Coturnix japonica: one gene and its partners. Each later gene encodes a partner of the first gene's protein in a complex. Links are inferred from orthologs where the notes say so. Each region holds a gene or a part of one and is shown in the gene's direction. Other genes may lie near its edges.

The links. The genes of interacting proteins can lie anywhere in the genome.
Region 2: the proteins of BACH1 (region 1) and FBXO22 are in contact, whole or in part, in a cryo-EM structure (PDB 8S7D), measured with the Homo sapiens proteins. The link is inferred for Coturnix japonica from reciprocal best matches to the Homo sapiens genes BACH1 and FBXO22. Residues at the interface, in NP_001177.1 of Homo sapiens: Ser7, Val8, Phe9, Ala10, Tyr11, Glu12, Ser13, Ser14, Val15; in NP_671717.1 of Homo sapiens: Asp366, Gly371, Asn372, Phe373, Ile374, Leu375, Arg376, Lys377, Cys378.
Region 3: the proteins of BACH1 (region 1) and FBXL17 are in contact, whole or in part, in a cryo-EM structure (PDB 8UAH), measured with the Homo sapiens proteins. The link is inferred for Coturnix japonica from reciprocal best matches to the Homo sapiens genes BACH1 and FBXL17. Residues at the interface, in NP_001177.1 of Homo sapiens: Val20, Leu21, Ser23, Leu24, Gln27, Val32, Leu33, Asp35, Phe39, His48, Arg49, Ser50, Val51, Ala53, Ala54, Cys55, Ser56, Ser57, His60, Ser61, Arg62, Val64, Asn72, Thr74, Pro76, His116, Asn117; in NP_001156787.2 of Homo sapiens: Asp395, Arg421, Asn447, Gln473, Gln498, Glu499, Met524, Arg548, Cys574, Leu575, Tyr598, Val600, Ser601, Asp623, Trp626, Met651, Arg652, Val676, Gln678, Asp679, Cys680, Arg682, Thr683, Glu685, Gln689, Trp692.

The regions. Positions count from the first base shown.
Region 1 is NC_029516.1:93,631,227-93,634,737, forward strand, and holds part of BACH1 (transcription regulator protein BACH1), read left to right. Parts: intron 1-2,900; coding exon 2,901-3,511. UniProt on the Homo sapiens protein: Transcriptional regulator that acts as a repressor or activator, depending on the context. Binds to NF-E2 DNA binding sites. Plays important roles in coordinating transcription activation and repression by MAFK.
Region 2 is NC_029525.1:2,728,554-2,732,607, reverse strand, and holds the start of FBXO22 (F-box only protein 22), read left to right. Parts: upstream 1-1,250; 5' UTR 1,251-1,350; coding exon 1,351-1,466; intron 1,467-1,546; coding exon 1,547-1,679; intron 1,680-1,770; coding exon 1,771-1,858; intron 1,859-2,065; coding exon 2,066-2,161; intron 2,162-2,746; coding exon 2,747-2,911; intron 2,912-3,873; coding exon 3,874-4,039; intron 4,040-4,054. Other genes in the region: UBE2Q2 (ubiquitin-conjugating enzyme E2 Q2), read left to right, coding at 167-198. UniProt on the Homo sapiens protein: Substrate-recognition component of the SCF (SKP1-CUL1-F-box protein)-type E3 ubiquitin ligase complex that is implicated in the control of various cellular processes such as cell cycle control, transcriptional regulation, DNA damage repair, and apoptosis.
Region 3 is NC_029547.1:42,393,959-42,398,248, forward strand, and holds the start of FBXL17 (F-box/LRR-repeat protein 17), read left to right. Parts: upstream 1-1,486; 5' UTR 1,487-1,588; coding exon 1,589-2,332; intron 2,333-4,290. UniProt on the Homo sapiens protein: Substrate-recognition component of the SCF(FBXL17) E3 ubiquitin ligase complex, a key component of a quality control pathway required to ensure functional dimerization of BTB domain-containing proteins (dimerization quality control, DQC).

The DNA.
Region 1 (3,511 bases):
GGAAGGGAGTTAAAAATAACATGAAAATTGTTGGCAAGTCATCTAGAATCATTAAAGCCAGGAGGAAATGTGCGTGACAATGAATATCTGTAGTGACGTCACTTCAGCAACTTGTTTGTGTACAAGAGCAAGTTGAACACTACCTTAACATAATTATGTATTCAGAAAGCCTGTATCTTCCTAAAATAGCTCATTCACTAGCTCTATAATATATAAACACAAGGATTCTCTGTAACTGTAATATCTGATTACTGAAAACCAAAAATGATCACATCATCTCTTTTGATGTGTTTTGATGAATTTGCTACAAACTGATGTTACGCCATGATAACACTGTCAGCTTTATTCATTCTTCCTGTTGCCTCTGTATGTTCGTTTCTTCTTCCCTCTCTTCTCTATAGTGGCTTAGCATGTTAATAATGCAAATAGTATGAGTGAGATAAATCCTTTTAAGCCTGCAACTTCACAACATTGTCTAGTACTACTGATGTAAAAGCTGAATGTGCTGCAATAACAAGCAAAAATACCAGCAGAGCATCTTATCTTCTGATAATTTGATCTCATCACTTGGTAAAAAACACTTTGTGAAATTGGAGCTTGTCTTTTGGAAACTGCTAAATGTTTTGAAATGAGTCAGTTTATGAAACTGAGTACTTGAGAGGGACAAATAAATAAATACTAATTGGCTTGGCAATTTCTTAACCCTTTTGATCATCCAAAGTTTTTGAAGTTCAAAATAAAATATGCCGGTCCAAAACGTGAAATACTTGAATATTGACATTAACTTGTTTCATATAGATCATCAAAGCTAACCGGTGACACCTTGCTGTCAGTCGCTTCTATTGTCTTCCTACAGAAGTTACACTCTGAAATTAGACTGCCGTCAGCAATACAGATGAAACAAATAGCTTCTGCCAGACTTCTCTTCATTCAGACCAACAGTCTTTCCAGTGATAGATCATGTTTGAGGAAAGCTAGCTAGAAAATATGGGAGAAAATATGAGGAGCAAAGTGTTTTTTGTTCTGTAAATCTTTCAATTTATTTATTCTTTTTTAGCAAGGAGTGGTAAATGAAGTATGTACAATTTTGAAACATATTCGTTTGGTTTGGTTTCATGTATGAATGTAGTCTGTTTACAACCAATAAATCTTATTTATTTATAGTAGGTATAAATATACCTTGCAAGCACATAGATAAACTCTTTTCCTTTTCACTTTTTTTTTTTTTTTTTTTTTGAGGATGAATTAAGAATACTGACCAGATCACCATGTTGTCTTTAGGGTATATTTGAAACATTTTTAGAATTCTTTAGGTTTAAGAGTTTTCAGAATATTTTGCTAAGCTGTCTGCATAGATCACTTCAACTGCCTTTTATTTGGTATTTCCATGTTCTTTAGAAATAAAAAGCCCAGTGTGTGGGCTTGGGCTATAGTAGTAATAATAATGGACATACTCCATTTTATTTTTACTTGCTAAAGGAAGTAGCATGTAACTTTTAATATGACTGTGTTGCAGAAAGGAACCAGGTCGAGACTCGAACTCGTGGGTACTCCAGGGTTGATTTTATTAACAAGCTCAGTGCTCAGGTGAAACATGCATACAGAGCTTGGGTCACTCCTAGTGAATGACCCTTAAGCTTTACAAACGTCCTATATTTATATGATTAGGTAAACATTACATCATTTATGTTATTCATTTCTCGTGATTAATCAATACATCTTCAGTCCTTCTTTCTCGTGTTTCATCCTAGGCCCAGGCTTCATGCTTCACGTGTTACTCTTCTTTTGAACTTGTCCAAAAACTCATTATCTTCTTTCATCCGAGCCATCCGGGCTAGACCAGTCCATTCCATCTGTCTTATGGTTAAACTATACATTTTAACTGTTTAACTACTAAATAGCAATGTCAGCACTATTATTGTCTACCTCTGCTGTTTCATAACTTCACAATACTCTAACACCCCTACATGGGTCATGGTTCAGGGCTATACAGGGGATACATGAGTAGCATATTGGTTGAGAAATTTACCATTTTCCCTAACAACTGTCTGTTTACACCTTTCTACCTGCTTTCTTAGTAATTTTTTCAATGATAAGCAGGATTGTTTATCTTTGAATTCCCTTTTAGGTAACTGCTCTGTAGTAGAAGCTGAGTTGATAATGATGGAACTGTTCCAAAAGGCTTACCTTCTCCAAAGAGACTGTAACTGCTGTTGGCTTAGGGTTTTGGTTACTATTCTTTTTGTCCATGAGAGGAAGAAAGGCATAGATGGCTACAGTAGTAAATAATTGTGTGCGGTCAAACTCAATTACTTCAAAGTTCTTTATATCAGTGATGCATGAAACTGAGCAAATAGCAGTAATTGCTCTTTAAAGGAATGATTCATGCCAGCAGCGTTTTGATCTTTCTCAGGAATAACTCACGTGTAATTTTACTATGGAAATTATCTTTATAAAATTTGAGTCCCTCTCCTGGTTTTCAGATTACAGCAATAAATTTCACTTTTTAGTACTGTATTATGAGAGTTGTTTAAGAGGTTGATCACAGTGAAGAAAATAACTGCCATATAAAATATACAGGATATAATTATTTCTTATTTGCTTCACAATGTGTGTGGCCAGATTTCCTTTCTGAAGCAAAACTGCTGCTTGTCTCTCGTTCTTTGTCCTGATGGCATGACTTTCTGAATACAGGATGTGAGTTCTGGGTGTTTAAGCCCATGTACATGTTGGGACTGTAACTAGAAACTTGGCAACCTAACTACTACCCAGTGAAACAGAAGTGGATAAGTGGGGCCTTGTTCTTTTTTATGTGGTTTGCACTGGTAAATGGGAAGCAAGAGAGTTTCACCAAGCAGGAAGTTGGCCGTGCTAATTTTTTTCTTGTTTTTCTTCCATAGGTAACGCTTAAGGGATTTAGCCCCTTGCTTCAGTTTGCATACACAGCTAAACTTATTTTGAATAAAGACAACGTGTCTGAAGTTTGCAAGTGTGCTGAATTCTTGGGCGTACGGAACATTGAAGAGTCTTGCTTTCAATTTCTCAAATTCAAGTTTTTGGACTGTAAATCAGATCAAGAGTGGCCTAGGAAGAAATGCTGCACACAGCATTGTAGGAAAGTAAATCCTAAAATTAGCAACGTGGATGATGGAGACCTAGAAATAGACGATGAAGCGGAAGAACTTCTAGAAAAAGAATATATTCAAGCCTCTCATGCAAAGCTCTGTAAAGATGATGACAGTGCTAAAGCATCACCTGCCCTTCAAGATAATGCCAACCCAACCTCAGATCCTATGCATTTAGAAAAAGGTAATGTTTCCAGCTCATCTTCCCAGTGCCCCAAGTATAGGAAATTCCAGAAAGCTTTTGGAAATGACAAAGTTCATACTTCAGATTCCAGTTCCAGTACTAAAGATGTTCAGGTGCCACCAATTGTAACCTTTATCGAGAAGGAAATACCTGATAATGACAGCCCAACAAAAGCTCAGGAGTGCGTACCTATGCAGCTGGT
Region 2 (4,054 bases), on another chromosome or scaffold:
TCAGTAAAGGCCACGTACACTTGATCCGATAGAATTCAACATACCAAATGCTGTCAGGAGCCAGAGTTACTCAGCTGACATTTCTGCCACCCATTCAGAAGGCAGCTGGTAAGCTCCTTTGAGCGGAGCCAGGGCAGCGCCTAATGCATTTCTCTGTTCTCCATAGGCTGGTACACTCCTCCAAAAGAAGACGGTTAATACCGAGGACTGTTGTATACCTGGACCAATGCCAACAAAAAGAGCTCTTTTTAATGTTTTCCAACACAGAGACTCGAGCTATGAGTGCCCCTATAACAGCCGTACTGAAGACTTTAGCTATTAGATAAGTTAGTGGATAATCTGTCAACTGACACGTCAAGTATAAGTTGCAGCCTTACCATTCCGCTCATCTTAGGCATCTTGGACTGAGCAGTCTGGGCCTTTGCTGTATTTGTTCTTCATGGATGAAGCGTATTTGGGCCACTCCCTCCCTTCTCCCCTTTTTTACTCTGGAGGTGTAATGCTGCACTGGAGCATTCAGCAGGGCTCGGTCACACACTTCAGTGCATTTCTTACCTTTCGCAGGATGCAGAGCGCCGAGACTTGAGTTGTGTTGTTTCATTTAAAGCCAGGAGGTTGACTATGTTGTTTAATACTGTTATAGGAAATGTCAGACCTTGCGAATCACAGTAGTTTTGTTTGTTTTTTTTCCCTCCGGTCTAAAATGGCAGCGTTTGTAGTACTTCCAAATTACTGATATAGGACAAGCACATGTACGTTACGTCATTAAACATTTTCATGGCTGTATGAGAATACGAACTATTTCTTGGGAGAGATGCTCACGGCCCGATGCTTTTGCTCTGCTTCCCCTCCAGCAGTGCAGGCGTTGTGCCTGCAGCACAGCACAGCCCATGGGCTGCAGCTGCACGGCCGAGGCTCCGAGTCATTGCAATCCCTACAATAACCAACAAAAGCCCACGTCTGTAGGCGATCCATTAATTGACGGGTTGTTGCAATCATTTGTCAACTAACGAACTGATAAAGCGAGTGCGGCACGACGGGGCGACAGCGAGCGTGGACGTGCGACGGGACGAGCCGCAGCGTCGGACGGGGCCGGGCCCAGCGCTGCCCCCATCCCTTGGTGGGCCCGGCCCGGCCCGTCCCGCCCGTCCGAGCCGCCCCGTGCCGTGCTGTGTGTGTGTGTGTGTGAACCTGCACCGAGGTGCCAATAAAGCCGTTTGACACCCGCTGTACGAGCCGCTTCCGGGGCGGGGCCGGAAGGGATGCGGGCGGAAGTGCCGTCGCCGGAAGCGGAAGCGCGTCCCGCCGTGCTCGGTGGGTGTCGGGTGTGGCGCTGAGCAGCGTGTGGCCATGGACACGGACATGGACGGGCCGGGGAAGGGCGGCCTCGTGCTCGGGAACCTGGCCGAGGTGGTGGAGCGCGTGCTCGGCTTCCTGCCCACCAAAGCGCTGCTCCGGGCCGCCTGGTAAGAGACGGGGTAAGGGGGGGGTCGGGCGGAGGTGTGTGCGCCGTTGTTGAGGTGACGGGCCGGGCGCTGTGTTGCAGCGTGTGCCGCCTGTGGAGGGAGTGCGCGCGGCGGATCCTGCGCACGCGGCAGCGGCTCAGTTGGGTGTCGGCGCTGGAGCCCGGCCCGCCCGGCGGACACGCGCTGCTCCGCGCCCTGCACACGGAGCTCCAGGTGCGTCGGGGGGCGGGGCCCGGTTCGTTCCTGCCGGGCGGGGCCGGTACCGGGGCGGCGTGACGAGCCCGCGCCGCGCGTGTCCTTGCAGAGGGTGCACGTCCTGCCGCACACCGTGCTGTACATCGCCGACGCCGAGACGTTCAGCGGGCACGAGGAGTGTCACGAGCACAAGAAAGGTACCGCGGGACGGGCGGGGACCGGCGGGAGGAGCGAGATGAGGCCAGCGGGGAACGAAGCGCGGCCACGGCTCGCGGCACTAAACGGGGCAATGGCGTCGGTAGCGGCCGTGGCGCCAGAAGGGACCGGCCGGGGCTTCGTGTTCCTGTCAGCTTTGCAATGATCGCTTCAGCTCCTCCGCGCCGTTTTTGTTTCCTTTTCAATAGCCAGGAAAAGAAACAGCAAAGAAACAGCCCTTGCGATCGAGAAACTGTTGCCAAAGCGATGTCAGGTCCTTGGACTGCTCACCCCGGGGATCGTAGGTAGGAGCCTCCTTGCAGTGCTGCGCTCCTTAGTAGCGTGTTCGTGCCTGTCTTCTCACCTTCCGTTCTCATCCTGCAGTATACTAAGAGGAAACCTTCTTCCTTGTTTCTGTGTTTTCAAGGCATAGCTCGTGCCGTGCTTCTCGGCAGCAAAAGCGTTTATGTGTTAAAACATTTTCTAGGTGTTTGCTTGGTGTTTGCTTCCAGTCTCTGTCACTGCAGCCGTGACTAATAAGAACAGGCCTATAGCATGAAGGAGTACAGGGCTGCATAAACACCTGTGTGAAGTTAATAGCCGTGAACATTTGATTCTGTGCCTATGGCTGTTTGAGTACTTAGAGTAAGGAAAATTAGTGTATATGTCTGTCTTCTCATGCAAAGTGACTTTAGCATCGTTTGTGGACAATGGAGCTGTTACACCTTTCATCTTTCACAACAACAGCAAAAAAACATTCACACCAGTTATCAGTTAGATGTGTTGTGATGGGAATGAGCTGTCACATTGTAAATTGCACATGCTGTTCTACCTCTTTTAGCCAGACACAAGTGTCAATCACTAATCTTTCTTTGTTTGTGTCTTTGTAGTTACCCCTATGGGTTCAAGCAGCAATCAGCCTCAAGAAATTGAAGATGGTGAAGCTGGGTTTGCTCTTTTGTTTCCCAAAATTGATGGGGTTAAAATCCAAACCTTCCATTTTCCTAAAGAAGTAAAGAATAGGGTCATTGATGAAAACAAATTTGCTGAAGCAGGTATGTCCTTGTTCTGCCTTCAATCTGGGCTTTTGTCGAGTGTTTGGCTGCTCTTTGAGGATCCAGCGTGAAACTGCATGTGGGACCAGCAGCTCCTGTGCTGTGTTCACAGAGCACTGAGGCTCTGCAGGGCTGCTCTGGTAACCACCCATCTCTGTTCCACCCATTCTTGGGAGCACTGAGGTTATTATCCTGAGTTTGTCTCAAACTTCTTCATTCATGCTGCAAGCAGAGCTGCTAAAGGGGAGCTAGTGGGTTTGAAGCAACCCAGTAATTGATTAAAATGAGTTTTGTGCCACAGGGAATTATTTTGGCCATCACTGTTTAGAAGGGAGTGGGAAGGAGTTGCTGCTTTTCCTTAACAAAGTATTTTTGTTTTTAGATATGAAGTTGGGTGTTGTAGCAAGGAAAGGTATAAAGAAAAATTATCTGTCTTAATAATAACAGTTTACGTTCTTCATGTTGTGTTTATGAAGAGTGATCTGAGAGCTCTGAGAGTCTTCCTGGAACCTGGAAGTTTCTTTCTTGGGATGGGAACAGGCTGATGCACACATCTTAATGGTTTTTAATTTTCTAAGTAAAGCTGTTTACTCCACTGTGGTTCTCATTGAACAACGTGTGTGCTCAGTTTGAATCTGTAAAAGGATAATTAGGACAGTGAAGTAAAACCCAAGAAGTGTGCCATGATAAAACGCAAATGCTCTGGGAAAGAAGCTGAAAGCAAGAGGAAGCAGCTACATCTACTTTTCATCTCTGTTCTTTAATGAAATTCTCATGTGTGTAGGGAATGCAGCCCAGCTCATGAATACATGGCTGCCCTGTGTCTAGTTTTTCACTTGCAACAACAGGAAGCCGTTGCTGGAGGCATTAGGTGTTATTTAAGGAGGGAGTAAAGAGTGTATGCAGAACTCTTAGACATTGGGGAAGTCAGAATAAGGGGACTGAAGTTCTCGTTTTTGTAGGCCTGAAGAATAATCCAGATCTTCGTGTGGTTCTTCTGTTCGGATACAACTCCTGGAAGTCTGGAGCTACTCGTTTTCTTCATCAAATAGTCAATCCTTTGAATGAAAAAAGTATCATCTTAGCTGGGGGACAAGTGGAGAGCTTTACATCGCTCATCTCTGAGAAGTAGGTATATTTTTC
Region 3 (4,290 bases), on another chromosome or scaffold:
AAGGCAAATATTTTGGAAATAGGAAGAACTCCCTACGTGAGTTATATGTATATGTATATGTATATTGTATGTATATAGTTCAAAATCATGGGACAATATCGGACTGTAAGATGTAAAAGCAACATAGAGAAGTCAGTCACCTTTGCCAAAAGTACTGCAGTTATGTGATCATGTGAGTAAGGACAAGGCCACGGTGACTCTTTAGAAGTTGCACAGACATAGCTGATTAGTTTGGAATATTTGATACTGTAAGCATTTCTCCTGAATGTTGTTCAGTTTGAGTGCTTGGCTTTAACTGCCTTTACAAGCTGAATTTGTTCTTATAAAAATAAAGAATGTAAATCTGAGAGATGAATAGACCTGCCAATTTTTTTGCCAGAACCTGCTGCAGTTTATATTGATGGGTGTCAGTGAGTTAAAAACTCAGATAAAATATTACATTATGCTACTTTTATCACATAATGTATTAGTATTCTTCTCAGCAAACCTATTTTTACTGAATGGTTGATAAAGAGGAATCAAAGGAAAATAGTGTCACAGGTATTTTAACCCTCACACAACATTTTCCTGGGCAACAGGCCCAAAGATTTTGTCCACAGTACCTGGCACTGTGCACTTCTGCTCTGGCCCTTCATTTTTAAGTAGCAATACTGTACCTTATATATCCTAGTTACAGCTGGTCTCCTCCCTCCCCAAACACCTTCTACTAAAGGCAGTGTCCCTCATATATTTAAACCTATACATGCGAGTCATTTTACGTCAATAATTTAGAACCGAATCCTGAAACACGCAAAATAAGTTTGCTGTGGACAGTACTAATTACGGCACTGCGGTTTATATTTGCAAAGATGTACACACTCTGAGCAACTGTAACACAGGGGCAAAGGTGCTGGTCAGCAGCGATTCAAGACAGCAGGAAACGGGATTCGCCGGAGCGTGTAGCTGTGAAGAAGGCATTGCTAGAGAAGACGTGGCTTCGGAAGCAGAACGCTTCCATCAGTCCCTCAGCTTGCGTTACTCGGCCATCGCAAACGCCTCGCCTTCACTCCTGTCCGCTTCCCCACCGGCTCTGACCAATCGATTTATTTCTGCCTCGCTCCGCACACCGCAGCCGCACGCCCCCGGGAGCAGAGCGGGGCCCGGAGCATCCTCAGCGCGGCCGCCGCGCTCCTGTACCGCGGCTCCCCGTCCGCACGCTCGTACCTACAGACGCCGCGCTCGCAAGCCCCGCACCCTCGCTCTACCTGAGCGCACCCGCACCGCGCGTGATGGGGCGGCCCCGTCTCCACCCGAGTGAGGCCGCCGGGCCTCCAGGCCCTTCCCGGCCGTCTCTCCGGCGGCGGCTCCCGGCCCGGCCGCTGGCGGCAGCACCACCGGGCGGCGGCGGCGGCCCCTCCGCAGCGCCGCCTCCTCGCGTCCCGCGGGGAAGGTCAGGGCGGCGGTAGCGGAAGCGTCTCCCTCCCGGCTCCGCGTCCCGGAACCAGCCCCGCCGCCCCCGGCGCCGCCACCTGCCGCCCCCGCCGGCAGCATGACAGCGGCCGCCGCCCGCAGGTGACGCCCCGCGGGCCCTTTCGCCGCCGCCTCCTATATGGGCCACCTGCTCTCCAAGGAGGCCAGCAGCCTGAGCCGGGACAGCGGCGGCCGCCGTCGCCGCCGCGGGAGGAAGGTGCCGCCGCGCAGCCGGAGCTGCTTCCTGCGCGGGCCCTGCATGCTCTGCTTCATCGTGCACGGCGCCAGCTCGTCCGCCCCGGAACCGCCCCTGCCCGCCGGGGACCCGCTGCTGCCGCCGCCCTACGCGTCCCACGCCGCCGCCGAGCAGCGCGCCGCGCGCCGCCTCCTCCGCCTGCCGCCCGCCGCCTGGGAGCCGCGCGGCCGCTGCCGGCGCCTCCTCCTCTCGGGCCTGCTGCCCTCGCCGGTGCGAGGCCTCCTGGGGCCGGCCGGGCCGCCTGGCGAGGCCGTCTCCGAGATGGTGTGCAAGCGCAAGGGGGCCGGCCTGCCCGCCTGCACCCCCTGCAAGCAGCCGCGCTGCGCCGCCGGCGCGGCGGACCCCGAAGCTGCTGCCTGCCAGTGCCCCGCGGAGCCGCAGCCCTGCGCCTTGCCCTCGGCCGCCGACGGGGCGGGGAGCGGCGGGACCGCGCCGCCGAGGTGCCCCGCCGGGAGCGGAGACGGAGGGGACCGGTCGGTATCGCCGCCGCCCCCTCCCTCCGGAGACGAGAAGGAGGGAGTGAAGGAGCGGAGCGGCGAGGAGCCTTTGGAGCACCCCGGGGACGGCTGCCGGGAACCGTCGTCGCCGCCCGACATCAACCAGCTGCCGCCCTCCATCCTGCTCAAGGTGGGTCGCCGGGCCGGGGCTGCCTTCAGGGCCGCGGGGCCGGTAGGCCCGGGTGGGGCTGCAGCCGCCCGCCTTGCCCCGGGGGTCGCGGCTCAGCCCCCTCACCTGCGGCCGCTCCTCGGACACGCGCGGTCGTGCTCCTGCCCGAACTGCTGGCCCGGCCCGGCTGAGGTACGGGAGGAGCGGCCTTGGTCCCTTACCCTGTGCGGCGTGAGCTCTGAAGTTGAAGCGGAGGCAGTCGCGGTGCGCTGCCTCGGAAGCACTTCGACTTCAGCCTGTTGCATGACTTTGTAGCGCACCTCGCACGCGTGGTGCTCTCCGGGTCGGCTGTTCGGGAGCAGGCGGGCAGCCGGTGAGCTCCGCTCGTTCTGTGCGAGTCAGAGCGGTACGAGCAGGCTGTGCTGAGGGGCATACAGCTTCTTCCAGGCTGTGTTCTGAGTTCGTCTTGGTTTTACTGTGCTTCCAGTCATAATGAATTCTTGTAGCACTTCTGAGCTCTGTTCTTTAACAGCCCATTGCTTTGTATATGCCGGGTCTTGCTTTGCTTCCTCTCCCTTCTGCTGTGCTTTGGTTCCTTGATTACTGTTTGCTTTCTAGAGTAACTTATAGTTCAGGCTGCTCGGTCTATCATTCTACACACTGTTCTTCAGCTGAGCCTTAGACCAGGTGAGAACCATTGCTGGAGCTGGAGTCTGCAGTGTTTTCCAAAGTTTGTTGTCAGGGTTCCTTCAGACTGGAACCAGTTGGACTTGGAGTACTACAGAAGTTTTCTTTGGGGTTAGATGGCTGAACTTGAAGCAGTGTGTTAACAGAGCAGTGTGACAGATGGCTCTTCCTGTCTGTGACCAGATCCGTTCTCTCTGTAAACTCTGGTTGTGCAACCCCAGCACTGAAAGTGATTTCTGATCTCTTGTCCACAAACACTGACATTCTGCTATTGGTCTTCCACATAAAATTAAGTCTGTGCTTGTTTTTTGTTGTTGGCAGTGGTTTGTTTTGTTTTGGAAATATGCATTCCTGTCTTAGTTATGTTGTAATGGCATGCAACATTTTTTTTTATTTTTTCAGTAGATTCACTGCCCAAATTCCCCCGTGGCAGATATTTAAGAAATCACAAACTGCCATATCTGTCTTAATCTCTTCTGTGATCAAAACTCTGCCTCACAGTTTTACTAAAATAAAGGATCCATTTCTTTGTCACTGTTAATTTAAGATCATAGAATCATTAGGGTTGGAAGGGACCTTTAAGATCATCTAGTCTAACCACAAACCCATCACCACCATGCCTGCTAAACCACGTCTCTCAGTGCCGCAGGTGACTCCTCGTGTTATCCTTGGTATTGGGCTGTTACAACTTGAGATCAGACTGGCATAAGTACACCTTAATGACTTCTTCTCATCAGTTGTATGGCTTCTGTAGTCTCTTCAGCACGTGTCCAGTTTCACATTATCAAAAATGGCAGTCTAGCATGATCATAAACTTGTTCTTTTAATAGTGTGACTTTGTCATGCCGCTCTCATGCCTCTCTGGAAGCAGCCCCCCATTACAGCTTGCAGTGGTTTACATATACTTTGCAGGCAAGTACTGTGCAAGCACATCTGGTTGTGCTGTTTCACTACTCCTGACTGTGCAGATCATTTCCCCTCATTCCCATGCAAAGCCAAGCTCCTGGGGCAGGACAGATGGAGCCTTAGGCTCAGGGTTAGATCTCCCTGAATCCTTGTTCTGCTCTAGGACTGAAGTTTTCTCAAAGCAGTGCTGCTGGTGTTTTTGTCACATGCTTGTTTGTTGCTCCTGGTGCTGGGATGTTTGCAGCTCTGGACAGAGACCAGTGCCTGGCTTCTAGCAGAGCTGTTGAGCTCCTTCCTGCTGGCTGGTAAGGCAGAGCAGCCAGCCCTTCCTTCCCAGTGTTTGTAAGCATGAAATGGAGATGCTTGGAAAACTTTGTGCTACGTTC